3 linked regions of the Caenorhabditis elegans genome follow. The protein of the gene in region 3 interacts with the protein of the main gene of each other region in a pairwise test. Each region holds a gene or a part of one and is shown on either strand. Other genes may lie near its edges.

Region 1 (4,462 bases), 7.5 Mb from region 3:
GGTTGAGTTTTTCACAAAAACGTTGAAATTTCCATCGACTGAAACCCGCCGAATCTGATAGGGCGATGCTACTGAAAAAAAAATATTATGGGTAAATTAGACAAATAATCAATTGTAAAACCAACCACGTCTCACGGCGGACGAAGGCAAATATGATGTGAAACGCCTATTCGGTTGGACGATTCTTTTTCCCGCAAGCCTAACATTTACAATTCTACCGGAGGCGGCAGTGCCACGAATAACTGGCTCCGCGGGTGGCCCAGCCAAATCGGGGTTTTCTTCATTTCTGTTGGTGTCCGATGCTTCGACTTTGATGGGATCTCCGGTCACTTCTTCTGATTCACGAAGCGGTGCTTGCTGAGCCTCTTGAATTTTGACATCTTGGACAGTGTCCTCCATTTCAATGATTTGATTTCCGGCATCTTTGTCTGAAAATTATTATTTTTAATGCAAAAACCAGGAAAAAAAAACGATAAATACCGTAAGAGACTGCAAAAACGACTCCCTGTTTGTAGCGAACTTCAGTTTTCACACTTTTCGGCGCTTCCACTGTGATGGTCTTTCCAGTCGACGTTTTGATGGAGAGCAGCATGATTTTATCTGAAAAAGTTGATAGATTAAACCTAATTGAGAGCATTTAAACAAAAAAGACGCAGAAAGAACTTTTTAATTTGACAAAAATAGTGAAAAAAGAATAACAATCGACAGAAATTGGATTTTCAGTAGTTGTTGAACTTATTTTGTTAAATAAAAAATGATAATGCACCTAAATTAATTTTTTTCATTCAAATTTCGATAAATAGCGAGAAAGAGCAAGTTAATATGGGCAAGAGTTTCGAAAAAATCAATAAATCGAAAAACAAATCTCGACAAACTACGGTAAGCGTAAAAGTTCACAATGAACACAATGCGCATGAATTGACGCGCATGCCGTTTTTTGAGTTTTTTTTTGGTTTTATTAGAATTTCAGCATTTTTTGCAGAAAATTTTAAAAAAAACTATTATAATATTTGAAAAGAAACATTTCAAGTACTGAATCAAGCAAAACAGGAAAAAAATATTACAAAAAACTGTTTGCGCGTCAATTAACATGCATTGTGCGCAACAGCGTACTTTCTCGTCTACCATAGTTTTGCCGATTTTTTATTAATTTTTTTGTGGTTTTTAACGAAAATTCTTGTGAGTTGAAATGTATTCTATGATAGAGAAATACAGAAATTAACGAAAAACCTGAAAAGCACACTTTCTGAATCACTGAAAAAGATTCTTTACGTTGGAAATTCAGAACACAAAGAAATATACCGGCTGTTTAAAAACCATATTTTTAATTTCAAAAAAATCTAAACTTTTTCAACATTCATCAACAAAAATAAACAGAACAGTAACAAAATAACAAGTAACAAATTAACAATATTCAAATTGAGAACTTCATCCACGAAGTCTGAGAATTAAACGGAGAGTAGCCTCATTATAGATGTTATAGGCAATCAAAGTACGGTCATCCTCGAGCTGCGATCCTTGATAAATAAGACGCTGTTGATCTGGTGGAATACCTTCCTTATCCTGAATCTTGAGCTTCAAGGTCTCAACAGTATCCGTATTCTAGATTGAAATGGTGATTGTCTTTCCGGTATAGGTTTTCACAAAAACGTCAATTTCTTTTTCTATAGAAACTTCCAAACGAAGAGTACTGCCGTTTTCGAAACTGTTGTCAAAAAGAGTGCTATGATCGCTAAACAAATCTAGGTCCCAGTTTTCTGTAAAAATTAAAGAAATTAGACATATCTTTCAATATTTAAAGTACAAACCCAATAATAGTTTTTGCGTATTTGGGAGGATTCTTAGTTTTTCCCAAATTTTAGCCTTGACACTTGCCATGGTATCGGAGGCGGAAGTGTCAAGTGTGCATGTTCTTCCAGCGTTCTCAACGTAAATTCGGATTCCTTCATGATGCAGTTCTTGCTGAGTCTCGGCAACCTTGACATTCAGATTTCCGATGACCTCCGATGATTCGACACTGATGGGATCTTCGGTCACTTCTTCTGATTCACGAAGCGGTGCTTGCTGAGCCTCTTGAATTTTGACATCTTGGACAGTGTCCTCCATTTCAATGATTTGATTTCCGGTACCTTTGTCTGAAAATGATTTTTTTAATGCAAAACCCAGAAAAAAACAATAAATACCGTAAGAGACAGTGAAAACGACTCCCTGTTTGTCGCGAACTTCAGTTTTCACACTTTTCGGCGCTTCCACTGTGATGTTTTTTCCAGTCGACGTTTTGATGGAGAGCAGCATGATTTTAGCTGGAAAAATTTATAAATTAAATATTATTGAGAGTTTTGCAACAGAAAAACGAGGACAACGGTGAAAAAAGAAGCAAACAAGGGAGAAATCTGGTTTTTGGATAATTTCGAAATGATTTTTCTTAAAAATATGAATAGAATGAATTAATAAATATTATTATCAAGATTTTGATGAATTACGGGCAAAAAGCAAGCTATAAAGAAGAATTGCGTTGAAAAAGTCAATAAATCGAAAAACAAATATTGCAAAACTACGGTAAGCAAAAAAAGTTCACAATGCACAAAGAACACTTTAATTGACGCGCAAATTTTATTGAAATTTCATTTATATTAAAAAACTTTTTTCTAAGTTTTCGATGAAAACATTTCGAGTACTGAATCAAGAAAAACGGAAAAGTCAATTATTTAATGTGTATCGTGTGCAACTGCCTACTTCCTCGTCTACCGTAGTTTCGCTGATTTTTTATTAAATTCTTTGTGGTTTTTTAAATAATAGAAATTCTAATTGAAGAAACATGTGCCAACAGAAATTCTAGCGGGTTGAATAATGCTAAATTGAATTAAATTCGAGTATTTCAAAATATCAGCCTGAAGTATCCAAAAACCTGAAAAACCAATTTTCTGAACCATCGAAATAAAATGTTTAAGTCGGAAATTCAGAACACAGAAGAATTTACTGGAAAAAAACCCTCATATATCATAAATATGGTACCTGTAATATTTTGAGACAGTGTTTTTAATTTAAAAATTAAAAAAAAAACCTTCAACATTTATCAACAATAAAAAACAAAAAAGTAACAAAACAACAGATTAAGAGCAATCAAATTGAGAACTTCACAACCGATGTCTGGAGACTAAATGGATAATATCCTCATCACGAATGTTATAGGCGAACAGAGCACGGTCATTCTCGAGCTGTGCCCGACCGAAAATGAGACGCTGCTGATCTGGTGGAACACCGTGTTTATTCTGAACCTTGAACTTCAATGTCTCAACAGTATCCGTATTCTTGATTGAAATAGGAATCGTCTTTCCGAATAAGGTTTTCACAGAAACCGTCAGTTTTTCTTTTACAGGAACTTCCAAACGGAGAGTACTGCCGTTTTTGATGTTGTAGTCAGAAATAGTACGTTGATCCTTGCACAAAACAATGTTGGAAGGTTCTGTAAAAACTAAAGAAATTAGACAAGCTATCAGTTTCAAAGTACTAACCCAAATATAGTTTCTGCAGATTTGATGGAAAACCTCGTTTTTCCTAGATTTTAGCCTTAACACTTGCAATGGTATCGGAGGCAGCAGTGTCAAGAGTGATCGTTTTTTCACAAGTTTTAACGTAAATTCGCATTCCTTCACGATGCGGTTTTCGCTGAGCCTCGGCAACCTTGAAATTAAGATCCTTGATGGCGTCCGATGCTTCAACAGTGATTGGATCTCCGGTTACTTCTCCTGAAAAAATAAACATATATTGAAATAAAAACCAAAAAAAAAATCGATAAATACCGTAAGAGACTGTGAAAACGACTCCCTGTTTGTCGCGAACTTCAGTTTTCACATTTTTCGGCGCCTCCACTGTGATGGTTTTTCCAGTCGACGTTTTGACGGAGAGCAGCATGGTTTTAGCTGGAAAAGTTGAATTTATTGAGAGTATTGCAACAAAAAACAGTGAAAAAAGAGTAACAATCCACAGAAATTTGATCTTCGGGAAGTTTTGAACTTATTCTGTTGAATAAAAAAAATATAGCACTTAAACTAATTTGTTTCATTTAAATTTCGATAAAAAATGAGAAAAAACAAGTAAATATGGGCAAGAGTTTCGAAAAAATCAATAAATCGAAGAACAAAAATTTCCAAACTACGGTAAGCGAAAAAGTTCACATTGCACACAATGCACATTAATTGACGCGCAATTAGTTTTTTGGGGTTTTGTTGTTGTTTTTTCTTCGCATTTAAACGTAGTTCATCGTATTTTTTGCAGAAAATTCAAAAATAATTATTTTCAGCGGCACATTGGGAAATGGTCGCTGTCAAAAGAGAATTTGAGCTCTCCCATGTTTTCAAAGATGTGTCGAAGCTGGAAGATGGAAATACTTTTTATGGTCCTGAAGAAGAACATTTCAATGTTCAATGGCAAGCTAGAAAATGAATTGTAATTTCACTCT
Region 2 (7,618 bases), 610 kb from region 3:
CAATAATGCCCAAATATCGTAGTCAGGCTATCTTAATTTTGGAAGTGAATAAAACACATTTCTAAAAGTTTTATTTTTTAATTGCGTTTCAATTATTTGTATTCAAACTTTCTAGGGAATCTAACCTACAACAATGCTCGGAATTACTCAAAAAATCCGTACTGTTGGAAAATTTGGCAATTTACCAAAACTTTGAATTGGTGTGTCTTATTATGAAATTTCGACATATTAGACTATTGTACTATTTAGACTAGATCGGAAACTTTAAAACTATATTTAATCAGAAGCAGTTGTTTTAGATTGGAAATATGGACTGCATCTGCCCACGTCGTGAATGGCTCTGGAATATTGCTCAACAATCGGACGAAATGAAGAACTGGAGAAGCTCAGTACCAGTTTCATCAGTAATCGACAAACTAACGTCACTGGTTAATCAAACATGGAGTCTAGAAGATTTCTGGACTGTCCCGGATGCCTTATTCATTGAACAAATATATTTTAATGAATCACTTCGAAAAGAGAATACATGGTTCAATGATGATTTTTATAGTCAAATTGTGGCAGTAAATGATCAAATTTATATGTATCAATACGGAGTATTCAGTACGTTGTTTTTCTAAGAACATTGTATGTAATAATTTTTCAGATAGTACTATTAATATGAACAACATGAATATTGGCCTTGAGCTTCTGAAAGTACGATCCGGACCTCTTATGAATGATATGATGGATAGAATTAATAAGAAAAGTGATTGTACATATGGAAAAAATACACAAGGGTGTGATTGGATAAATGGACTCAAGTACTTCGTTTATTCAGCTGTGGGTTTTTTGGTAGTAACCTTAAGAAGCTTCTGGAAATTTTTTAGTTGTACATGTTATTCACAATTGAATTATTACATTAAACATTTTTTTTCAGCACGATGAGACCGTATACGCAGTGCTAGTAGCTCTTGGCATCGAACGATTTGCTATTAAACCTCACGGATATCCACTTTATTCCGCTGCCGTATCGGTTGAATATTGGAGAAATACTACTGATAACGCTGACTATTTTAAGGTAGGTTTGTTCGGTAAAGCAATATTGTAATATCTAAGTTTTGAAGCTGGTTTACCACAAACAATCTGGAGATGACTTTACTGTGATGACGAAGGAGATTACTGGATGTGGAGGAGATTACTGTTCAATGAATGTGTTGAATCAAATTGCAAACAATTTAAAACCAGATCAACCTATTGATCAATGGTGTCTCGTTACCGGATCCTCGAACTCTTCTTCACTTTTATTTTTGATTATATTCACTTTCATTTCAAAATATATTTTATTCTAGAACACTATATGATATTCATAAATATTTATTGATGTATGATAAATAAAATACACTTTTTTCGCTTTAAAATTAAAATTATGGCAATAATGTGCGTAGGTAGGTTGTTTCCTTTTGAATGGATCTATCGTCTTCTCTTTCTGCAGCATTGGTTATTTCCACAAAGTGAGAATCCAGTTGAACAATTGCATTGTGAACCACTCATTGCACATGGTTCGACTTGCAACGGGCAGTTCTGTTGACAGGCGTTCTGGCAAGCTGGCAGACAGAATTCAATTTGGGTCAGAAGTTGAGTTTTACATTGATCAACGCACTGATTAGCACATTGTGGAGCACATGTCACAGTTTCTTCCATTGGTTTTTTAAGAACAATTTCCAATTTGAAAGTTGGTTCTGCAGATTCCTTCACGATCTGAAAAAAAACAACGATATTTTAACAATTTGCCAAGCAGAACTCTATCAGCTGATATTTCAGTTACAGTACTTCAACGCAAGATGATCTACAACTGTCAGTACAAGCTGTGCTGCATTGTGGAACACTTTGGCTGTTCTGTTGAACACATGAAGTTTGGCAAGATTGGGTGCAAGCTGGCATACAGTTGTTGTCAGCCTAAAAATCTTCAGTTTTTGCAGAAAGTTCTAAATTTTCTGACCTGTGGAATTACAATTTCAAATTGATAATTTTGAATACACTTTGAATCACAGACAGGTTGACAAGCTGGAGCACACTGCTTGGAGCTCTGATCATTCATTGGGATCGTGAATGTGTATGTCTCCATACAAGATGGTTGGCAAGCTGGTTGACATTGTGGCTGGCAAGATGGCGTCGGGGGTGGAGTGGTCATTACTGGAAGTTTAAGAGTGAAGCTTATGCATTGTGGATCACAAGCTGGTTGGCATTGTGGAGCGCATGATGGGGCTGCAGTAGTCATTGGAATGGAGATAGTGTAGGTAGTTGCCTGAAAAGAAAAAAACTATGGTGGTTATTATAATTTTAATTTATGTTTATTTACAGTTCTAAACTTTTCCTGTTGTGTTGTTTTTTCTTCAAATTTTATATCATATTTACCTGCTGGACACACTCTTGAGTGCAAGCCGGTTGGCATTGTGGAACACAGGTCTTTGTGATTGGAACGGTTGTTTGAACAGTGATTTGTTGTACACAAAGAGGTTCGCAGGCCGGTTGACATGCTGATGGACAGCTATTTCCTTGATTCCCTTTGGAGTAACTTTGTTGTATAGTAACTTGGTATTGAGACTGAATGCAAGATTGCTCACAAGTTGGTTGACAAGCGGGAACACAATTATACTGACGTTGCTGTTTCTGTTGAGAATTCATTTGTTGTACTTGAATCTTGTAAGTTTGAATGCATTGTTGATCACATGATGGTTGGCATTGAGGAATACATTGTGGAGAAGAAGTTGAGGTTGAAGGGGTTTCATCAATCATATTAATTTGAACCGAGAAGTTTGGCTGAGCAGCTACACATTCCTGAGTACATGCTGGTTGGCATTGTGGAACACAAGAAGACTGTGGGATGTACTGTTGAGACAGTTGCTGAGGTTGTTGATAGCTGTTCTTGATCTTCAGCACAATTTGAGCAACAATACATTTAGTCTCACAAGCTGGCTGACACTCTGGGACGCATTGTTTTGGAAGCGAGATAGTTGTAGTAAAGGTGTCAGTACAAGATGGAAGACAAGCTGGCTGACACTGAGAAACGCAGTGAAGTGGGGCTGGAGTCGTCGTGTAAATAGCAACACATCCTGGATCACAAGCTGGTTGACAGATTGAGATGCACACTTTGGTTACTGGTGGAACTGTTGAAATGCCTGAAGACCCCGAAGAAAGATACTGATAAACACATTGTGGCTGGCAAGCTGGTTGACAGGCTGGAATGCATGTTTCAGGAGCACGAGTTGCTTGTGTTGCTTGAGAAGTTACGATCTGAATCTGAAGCTGTCTCTCTACACATTGTGGTTGACAAGCGGGTTGGCAGGCCGGGATACATGTTTCTGTCGTGGTAACTGCTTGAACACATTGTGGAGTGCACGCTGGTTGACAAGCCGGAATGCAGGAAGCTGTTGTTGGTTGAGCTGTAGTTTGAATAGAAACAGTGACCGATTGAATACATTGTGGAGAACAGGTTGGCTGACACTGGGAGGGACATTTCTGGGCAAGTGGCATCTTTTGAATAATCACTTCATACCGCTTCATGACATTAATACACTGAGCGTCACATGTTGGTTGGCAAGCAGAGACACATGATCTTGATGGGGCTAAGGTTGTGGTCTGAAAAATTGAATATTTTTTTGGTTGTGAAAATTGGTCGTTCAGACCGAAGTACGCATGAATTCTTTGACATTTATAGATACAGCAGCTTGAACGCATGTTGGTTGGCAAGATTTGATGCACATATCAATGCAATAAGATTTATTTGGCTGAGCTGTGCAACTGTTGGCACATGATTGAGCACAGGCTTGTGGGCATTGAGAAGCCTTGGTTTGTTGGTTTACAACTACCTGTAATTATATTATTTTATTTGGGTTCAAAGAATGGTAAAGTAGTGCCTTAATTGGTGGAAAATTGGACGATGAGCTCGTTGATGTAGATGGAGTGCATGCCTTATTGCATGTAAATTGACATGTCTTATCACAAAGAAGCTGTGGCTGATGGGAGTTCCTTACACAAGAATCTACACAAGACTTTTGACATGATGGTTGGCATACCGATGTTTGAGCCTGAAATTTCAGACTTGTACTACAATTCCATTCCACAAAGACTTGCCTTATTGGCACAAGAACATCCGCTTGATTGTGGCTCATTTGAGCATTTGCATCGTTGCATTCCACTCCCAATCGGATAACAATTGCATTTCGATTTTTGTGACAGTTGCGCACACGGGCATTGTCGCTTGGCTCGTGTAATCAAGCTCTAAAATGTATGGGATATTAACATGAGTCAGACGTGATAATCAAGTGAGCGACAGGTCATTGTTTGTTGAATTTGCGACATGGCACCGGTTTATTTGTTCTTGTGTTATTTGTATGTGTGAATGTGGGAAAATGTCATAGAAAGGCGGAACCCTTCTCATGGACATGAAATATGATATGGTTCACTTGAGAATGGCGAGACTTGGAACACTTTGCCGAGACAGGTCATCAGTCGGTCAAAATACAAGATATTGCGAAGATCGAGAGATTATAAAGAGTCATGGATGTGCAATGAAAATACTGTAGGCGCGTAGTGTTTAGCTATAAATTGGGATGATCAGGGAAACTAACGTAATTATTTTTCAATTACTGTAAACTACTAATTACACAACTATAGAAAAATAATTGAAAAATTGCACATTTTTAACAAAAAATAAAGACAACCAAAATATGAGCTACATAATTTAAGCAAGGGATTGTAAAAGTTGAAAAAGGAAATACGGTGTTTCTGCATTGATTTTTACTGGAAAAATAAAAATTTACTAGAAAAATAAAAAAAAAACAGTGATATTGGGAGAAAATGTTTCATAGGAAGATTTTGGACTACGTTTTCAAAAGTTGAATAAGAGATTGTAGAATAAGGAAAATGGATGAGAGATATTAGAGGTATAATTTTATTTTATTTTTAATATATCAAAAATTACCTGTTCTGAATCCACAAGGTATGATCCAATAACTATAAGTAATAATATAATGTTCGTCTTCATATCGTTTATTCGTAGAACTCCTCTCGGCGGTACTGCTGGCCGACGACAGTGAGGGAGGTGCTCTTTTGGTGCTCCGCTTCCTTCCGCCACTGTCTTATATACGTCTGTCATGTTGCCGCGGCGGTAGCCATCAGGCGGCAAAAAATTGTAGGATGCTCCTCCTTTCCGTCTCGATGCACCAGGAAGGAATTTACAGGAAGAAGACGAAGAATGGAGGAGACGCAAAAAAACGGATCAACTTTTTGCATCGGATCGTCGTCCGAGGACCGACGGAAATTGACGACTAGATTTTGGATTTTTGGTGGATCCTTGACACGGCCTGAAAAAAGTGTCTAAAGTGCTCAATACGATGTTTGTACAGGGTGGGAATCTCTATGTATTTTGATCCATTCAAAAAGTTGTCTCAAGGGATGTACGCGTATTTAGACAGATCAAAAAGTTGCCGGTGGTCTTCATTGCCGGAATGAGGGATCTTAAAGTTTTCAGTATACATTTTATGTTCCAAGTGTTCGACAATTCTTCAGGGAAAAAACGTAGTTGATCATGTCTGAGCTTAAATCATTTGAATTTGTTTTTGGATTTAATTGAATATGTTTTTTTTTGTGAATATATTTACAATTCAAGTATCAGAAACTTTTCCAGTTACACAATTTCTTTGAATATTACAAAGTAACTATCAAATAAAACTTTATCACGGGAAACACTTGTAAGTAGTAAGGAACTTGAAATATTACTTAAATCCCGTTTTTCCAACTTGGTAATGTCTAAAAGTGTTTCTTCGTACCTTCATAATTCAACACCCTGCAGAAAAACAATATTTCTTTTGATGAAATTGCATATTGTTCATTTGATTTTTTCTCTTTCAAAAAATGCCAACCTATTCATTTTCAAAGTCCGTCACTTGCCATCAAACAAAAAAAAACAAGTCAAGTTGGTCATTGCCAAGATGCGCAAAAAGTGATCATTTGATGCTCAACAATGCGTAAGCATGTTCCACACATTTCTCGCCTCCACAATATGTTTCTTGCCGGGTTATTTGGTTATTTCGTTGCCTTCCGCAATTGTCCGAGAATGAGACTGTGTACGTTGCAAAACCGTAAATACACAACGCATTATCCCACCAGTGGTGCCTTCTTCTGATTTTTGACTGGCAGTGGAGCATGTGGGAGGATTAAATGTGAAACAAAACGGGAAGGTGATGATGATGCATTGCCGATAGACACGGAGAAGCTTCATTTCCTTTTTTAGGATTGCCATTCTTCTTTGTAATCAAGACAGTGGAGACGGAGAGAAAGTGAAGGAAGTTGAGAACATTTTGACCGATGACCGTTGTGATTGACAAGAAAAGGAGTACTCGTGTGATCTTTGTTTCCCGAGATTGACGGCTTCTCCTACACTCTTGTCTATTTTAGTGTAACTATCAAAATTTACTATTTTTACTGTAGTTTCTCTGTTACTCTTGCATCCGATTACTCAACTATTGCAACTCTTATCTCATTTATCTTTGGGTGATTCCCTTTTGACCTTCAAGCTTATTTCAGCTTCAAAAATAATTCAGGATTATTTTTGCCTCACTCTTTTTTGGAGCTGGTTCAATACATATTTAGAAAACTAAGCGTTCATAAAACTTAAATATTTGTATTGATTCTTGTCTATTTCAATTCAGAAAACGAAACAATTATCGTGAGAGAGTAGTATTTTGGTGTGCACCTATGATATTAATTATGTAGTGACGTGGTGCAGCTGGAAACATTGAAAATCTATACGTGCCAATTGCAAAAATAAAATGCACACTTGTAGATCCTCGATATCATTTTATGAACTTTTCACTAATAATTCACTCATGAATATTCCAAGATTTTGTTCATGTTCTAGACAGAAATAGTTCATTCAAAGTTTATTCATGGAAGACGAAAACTAAGAAATAAGTTCTATTTTTGAATATTACGTTATTCGATCAGTAATTCATACGAGCATTCCACATACCCATATCACCTGTTTCCGTCTCGAATTGTATTTTGATAAGCTTACAATTTAAAAAAAGAAATTTCAATTTTTTATTTTAATTTTTTATTTTTTATTAATTTGTAATTTTTTTTCAACATATATTGTGACGCTCGTGTTGTTGAAATACTCCAAATGCATATTCACTATTTATCCGGGATTTGTGTTCTATTCCTAAAATGCCACACATATCCTCCTAGACAGTCTAATGCTGGCTAGTAACATGACACCGTAATCTGACACCGTTTTATTTTCGAAAATGTGTTTCACTCTTTTGACCGTAACCCGGACAATTCCGGAAAATACTTTTCGGGTAGCAGCGTTGTTGTGATTTACGTGGGTTGCGCATCTAATTCATTGTTTACTTCTTGAAGATACACGTAACACGAAACTTGCTTCTTTTCCCTCATTTTTTGTTCATCTTATTTGCACGTGAACAATGGGTGAGTTGGAAATGTGTGAATGATTGTTTGAGCTCAAGACGGTGCGGAAAAGAAGAAGCGTTCTTTGGCAGAGAAGACGAATTGATCTCGCGTTGATTCTTCCGGTTGAAAAGCACTGAAGTTTCACACGTGAAAAATGATG
Region 3 (5,581 bases):
GGCTATCATCAATCGTGCTTTTTCTGCTGAGTCAACTGAAGACCCACCACCACTGGCTCAGAAACGGTCCGAATCGACTTTAAAACCATTGAATGATGAATTGAAGTCGGTGCCACTGGTTAGAGCTTTCAATTCTGCTGAAAATCAACTGGATCCAAAGAATCAGAACGCTGCAAAGAAGTGAACAGTTATCAATGGGATACTTGATTTTTGAAAGTAATAAATTAGTAAAGTTAAATGTATTGCTCTCAATTTCAATAAACTTATCAATCAGTTCTGATACCCGACACAATTTTAGAGAACTCGTTTCTTGGGTTGTTTAGAAATATTTTACTCTCTGGCTTCACAGAATAATTTACTCTCCGGCTTCACAGTATATTTTACTCTCTGGCTTCACAGTATATTTTACTCTCTGGCTTCACAGAATAATTTACTCTCTGGCTTCACAGTAAATTTTACTCTCTGGCTTCACAGTATATTTTACTCTCTGGCTTCACAGAATAATTTACTCTCTGGCTTCACAGTATATTTTACTCATGGCTTCACAGAATAATTTACTCTCTGGCTTCACAGTATTTTACTCTCTGGCTTCACAGTATATTTTACTCTCTGGCTTCACAGAATAATTTACTCTCTGGCTTCACAGTATATTTTACTCTCTGGCTTCACAGAATAATTTACTCTCTGGCTTCACAGTATATTTTACTCTCTGGCTTCACAGAATAATTTACTCTCTGGCTTCATAGTATATTTTACTCTCTGGCTTCACAGTATATTTTACTCTCTGGCTTCACAGTACATTTTACTCTCTGGCTTCACAGAATAATTTACTCTCTGGCTTCACAGTATATTTTACTCTCTGGCTTCACAGTATATTTTACTCTCTGGCTTCACAGTATATTTTACTGTCATGTACATTTTCAGCCGTATCTTTAAGTGTGTATTATCAAATGAAAATGACAATTTATTGGCAAAATAGGTAGATTTTCAAAACTTTAAAAATTCATAAATCACTTCAAAGTAACTTTTTTCGAACAAATTTATTCCGAATATCTTCCTCAAGTTAAGATCCCAGACGTTTTGGAGTCATTTTCAGGGGCTTCGGAGACGGAATGTATGGGATACGAACTTCTGGGGCAGGCTCCGATGGCAAGGTGGCTGGAACTGGAGTTGGAGCTGGTGCAACGGCTGATTTGATAATACATGGAGGATTCGTGCACGGTTTCTTGTAGAAATCTTGTTTGTCTTCATAATTTCCAAAACATCAGAAGGAAGAAGCTGCAAAGAAGAAAATGAAAACATGTTTCTATATTTAAGTGAAGTGATAAAAGAAAATGGGTTTAAACTGACCACATCAAACTGCTTGTTGGCTTTTCCTTGGGGTGGTTTTGGAGGTGGAAGCATCACTGAATTTCCAGCTTTCTTCACTCCAACAGCAGTACTCTGTGCACCATCGGGAGGCAGTGGAGCAGGGCCGAGTGGATCAGTATTTGTGGATCTTTCCAATGTAAGACGTACCGTTTTTGTGTTGTTGACACTCGCATAGAGAAGCTGAAAGAGCGATAATAGTAGCCATTTGTGTTTCGGAAGATATCATACTTTTCTAGCAGAGTCACGATCAAGAACATAAATGTCATTAACTTTGACAAGAATATCTCCACCTTTGACATAGTGACACGCATTGGAAGCCGACTGAACCATTGAAATAGTTACAGTTTTTGGATCAACTGCCATCTGGAAACCATCTTTAAAAGTTTCAAGTGTCCCGATTACTGACTCTATGAATAATAATCCCTGTTGCAGCACCTCCACGATAAGTGAAAGTCAACTCAACCATCTGAGTATTTGGACGACGAGGTGGCAATGGTTTTTCAGTGACAAGGCAATGATCATCTCGCATGAACTCAATTGTCACTTTTCCAGGAAGTTTTGCACTGATTGCACGGATAAAGTCAGCAGTTGTCTTTATGTTCTGAACATTTGGATTAGTTGAAACGGAAGCGGAAACGGATCTTAAAATATTCCTTACGGTTTCTCCATTGACGTTCAAAATCTCATCACCAGCAAATAGAACACCCATCAATTGGCTACTCACGTCCACATATATGATCTCAAATGTGATTATTCAAGATCTCTTCGATTTTTGAATTGAAAATGAGTTTTTTAATAGCCCAAACTTCGTATTTATGAAAAATTAAGGAATTTTCGAATGTTAAACACATCAGGAATGCCGACAAAATTGTGCTCGTTTCAGCTCTTAGCGCGAGCCCTACGTTGAATACATTATTCAAAAAGAAATGTATTTCCATCTCAATAAATTATTTCAGAAACATTTCCCAACAAACAAAAACGAAATGAGCCCTCATTTACCTTCCCATTGACCACATCACATGCTACAACCACATTCTTCCGTTCGAATTGTACTTCTTCTTTTCCTTTTACATGAAAACTATTGTTGTTGGTTGTCATCTGTAAGAAGTTCATGTCAATGCAGTCCGCTTCTCTAGTAACTGGTAGAGTCACTATGCCCTCATTGTCAGACCCAACGCGCAATCTGAATGTTAACTTACTCCGAATGGATTGTTGCGGATACGAAAGAGCTATCGATAAGAAAATATTTAGAACTGAGTCAGTTTTTGTTTTCACTTTTTATTTTTCTGTAATTTTTTTCTGAATAAAACAAGTACAAACGATGTCACGTTGTTATATTAATTAAATTGATAAATTATTTATTATCAAAATATTATCAAATTTCGATGAGATCAATGGAATAGAACAATTCAATCATCGTTGTCTTCTGCTTTTGTCACTTTCTTTTGACCTCCTCTTACAAACTTTGAAAGTCTTGAACGAATTGTATTCAGATCTTTGCTGTATGTTGGGGCGCTGAAACCAATAAAAATTCGTTTATTTTCTCTTTATTTGAGCATTTCACCTATGAGCTGTACCTTCGGACTTTGTGCCACTATCAGATTCTTCAGTTTCAAATTGTAGGTGGGATATCAAGAAGACGTTGGAAACTTGATGGCATTGTTGGCATTTTGCTCTTTTATGCAGATCTTTTTGAAAATTGGAGATAAAAATCTGAAAATACGTTTTTCCATAACAAACACGACTTTTACACCGACACTGTTCTTCGTTGGTGCAGAAAAATTACAATATCGATTTGGAATTCTCATAAAAGAGCAGGTGGCAATCTACCACCTTTCTATATTGTCACATCACCTCCACACTCTCCGAGCAAGATGGGAAACTCCGCCCACAAACGCTGAAAGTTGATTACAACGACGTAGAATCTGTCTCATTCAGTCAGTCTTTTATTATCTCGATCTCTCCCTTTTGAATTATGTCTGTGAACATTGTTTTCTCCAATCCTTCCAAAACATACCTGCCTGGCGACTATGTCTCTGGAAAAGTGTTGCTCACAACAAAAGATCCAATTTCTGCACGATATATGGAAATCACGTGGAAAGGAGAATCAAAGTGTAATTTTGGAGGATCGGAGAGCTCAAATGTCCAACGCCATCTTGCCGGAACATTTATGGGATGGATTGCCAAAGATGGAGTTGTGAGTTTTTAATACTTAATAAATATATTTTCAAAATATTCCCATTCAGGACACAATCCCCGCTGGAACTCTCAAATCACGTTTCCGATTCCGACTTCCAGAAAATTCTCCGCCAAGTTTTTGCGGAATGTTTGGAGAAATTGAGTATTCTGTTACTGTGGAATTTGATCGTCCGTGGAGACTCAAGTTAAAAATGATGAATACATTCCGTGTGGTTCAGAAGACAAATCTGACACTTTCTGAGCCAAAAATGATGAAGTACGCGGAATTTGTCAAGTCGAAGAATTCTGGAACGATTTTCAAAGATGGATTGTTTTTGTTGAAGGTATTGTTCAATTTCAAAAGTAGAGTCAAAAAATTCACTCATTATATTTTAGCTTCACTTTTCCAAACGAGCATTCCTCGCAGGGGAGACAATCCGAGCACTTGCCATCATGGAGAATCATTCAACAAAACCAATCATTAATCTTCGTTTCGAGCTCATTCAACAATCCCATTACCACTCTCGCCCACAGAAATCATTGTGTTCTCTTAACGATTGTCACTCCGACTGCCCAATTGAATCCAAATATCGAAGAGATGGTGAAACAGTGCTCCGCGGAGCCAATTACAGTTGTGACGTCGCACCTGGTGAGGTGAAATATATCAATGTGGAGATTGATCTGCCAAATGGACTCCCGCCAACTTTCGAATCTCCAATGATCTCAATGGGATACCTGTTGGGATTTACCCTAAGAAATGGATCACTGACCGGGAATCGATTAGCATGTAATGCACGGATTGTGGTTGGAAGTGAGGAGACAATCGATGAAATGGTAGATGAATGTGAGCCGACAAAGAAGAGCCAATGCCTTACTGCATCACCACCACCATATCACCCATAAATTAATCAATGATCATATTCATTTGAATGTTTTAAAATAAAGTTTTTTTTTGAAAAAAGTTGTGTAAAACGGAATGTAGACGGAACCATATAAAAATAATTCAAATATTTAATTCAGAAAGGAAATCTGTATAATTTTTTCAGGAATAGCATTAATTGAAAAATCAATTCACAGAGAAATATGAACAAAAATAAATAAAAAAAAAAAACTTATAATGCAACTTATTTTATTCGGAAATGTACCCCAAATGTCGCCCCAATGAGAAAAATATGATACCAGCAAAGCTCGAATCTTGGATTTTTATTAAGATGTTTGTCTATTTTTTTTTTGAAAAAAAGCATATGCTCAATTTTTATTCAAGTAGAAAGAATCATAAAAACAGTTCACTCCTCTTTTGGCACTTCCTTCTTCTTCTTCGTCCTCTTGCTTCTCTGACTTTTTCTGCTTCTATCACTATTGTTTTTGAAAACTGCCAGAAGCCTATTTTTCGCTTTTCCCATCTGTAATGTCCCATCTTCACACATTCGAGCAAATCGTTCAAATTCTGCAACTGCCAATGGTATTGTGGCTCGACGAGATTCTTCGACAAAAATACAACTGCTCATGTACTCTTTTACTTCGTCTGGAGTCATTGATGGCATTGGATAGAAATTGTTAGCCATGATATCAGCCTTGATAGTTGCATTCGAGACACCTTCAAATGGTTCAGCACCGTCGACGAAGACTTCGTAGCAAGTGACTCCCCAGCTGGAAAGAACACTTGTCTATACCTCAATAGTTGATAAAACTAACCTATAAACATCAGTTGCATATGAGAAGCTCAGAGTAGCCAAGGTTTCAGGCGCGAGCCACTTTATAGGAATCTTACAAGATGTCTTTGTTGTATAAGATGGTCCAGCTCTAGATAATCCAAAATCGGTGATCTTGACCTCGTTCTCGTGAAGAAGACAATTTCTGGCGGCGATGTCCCTGAAAAGTTTTCAATCGATTTTCCAACAAAAAACCTGCTCACCGATGGATACAATTGTTTTGATGCAAGTACGCAAGACCCTTTGCAGCTCCAAGACAAAAATTGATTCGATCCGCCAGGGGCACCGATTTCGTCTGCTTCATGTAATCTTGCAAGGAT

What was found. The genes of interacting proteins can lie anywhere in the genome.
Region 1: the proteins of mpz-6 (region 3) and F52C6.3 interact in a two-hybrid assay, tested with the Caenorhabditis elegans proteins (one large-scale study listed by BioGRID).
Region 2: the proteins of mpz-6 (region 3) and appg-2 interact in a two-hybrid assay, tested with the Caenorhabditis elegans proteins (one large-scale study listed by BioGRID).

The regions. Positions count from the first base shown.
Region 1 is NC_003280.10:1,922,600-1,927,061, reverse strand, and holds F52C6.3 (Ubiquitin-like domain-containing protein), read right to left. Parts: upstream 2,304-4,462; 5' UTR 2,296-2,303; coding exon 2,184-2,295; intron 2,136-2,183; coding exon 1,809-2,135; intron 1,758-1,808; coding exon 1,603-1,757; 3' UTR 1,342-1,602; downstream 1-1,341. Other genes in the region: F52C6.2 (Ubiquitin-like domain-containing protein), read right to left, coding at 1-71, 126-428, 481-592; F52C6.4 (Ubiquitin-like domain-containing protein), read right to left, coding at 3,559-3,749, 3,804-3,915; bath-2 (BTB domain-containing protein), read left to right, coding at 4,318-4,430.
Region 2 is NC_003280.10:8,798,613-8,806,230, reverse strand, and holds appg-2 (Activated in Blocked Unfolded protein response), read right to left. Parts: upstream 5,102-7,618; 5' UTR 5,030-5,101; coding exon 4,967-5,029; intron 4,264-4,966; coding exon 4,117-4,263; intron 4,071-4,116; coding exon 3,900-4,070; intron 3,852-3,899; coding exon 3,669-3,851; intron 3,622-3,668; coding exon 2,398-3,621; intron 2,288-2,397; coding exon 1,982-2,287; intron 1,939-1,981; coding exon 1,813-1,938; intron 1,741-1,812; coding exon 1,453-1,740; 3' UTR 1,342-1,452; downstream 1-1,341. Other genes in the region: pho-13 (intestinal acid PHOsphatase), read left to right, coding at 300-603, 647-822, 920-1,060, 1,107-1,331.
Region 3 is NC_003280.10:9,404,508-9,410,088, forward strand, and holds mpz-6 (PDZ domain-containing protein), read right to left. Parts: upstream 2,614-5,581; 5' UTR 2,571-2,613; intron 2,470-2,570; coding exon 2,371-2,469; intron 2,111-2,370; coding exon 2,030-2,110; intron 1,973-2,029; coding exon 1,778-1,972; intron 1,735-1,777; coding exon 1,600-1,734; intron 1,552-1,599; coding exon 1,351-1,551; intron 1,279-1,350; coding exon 1,093-1,278; 3' UTR 1,027-1,092; downstream 1-1,026. Other genes in the region: Y51B9A.5 (Ovule protein), read left to right, coding at 1-184; arrd-2 (Arrestin C-terminal-like domain-containing protein), read left to right, coding at 3,347-3,568, 3,618-3,893, 3,946-4,452; M176.9 (Tyrosine-protein kinase), read right to left, coding at 4,836-5,199, 5,245-5,421, 5,465-5,581.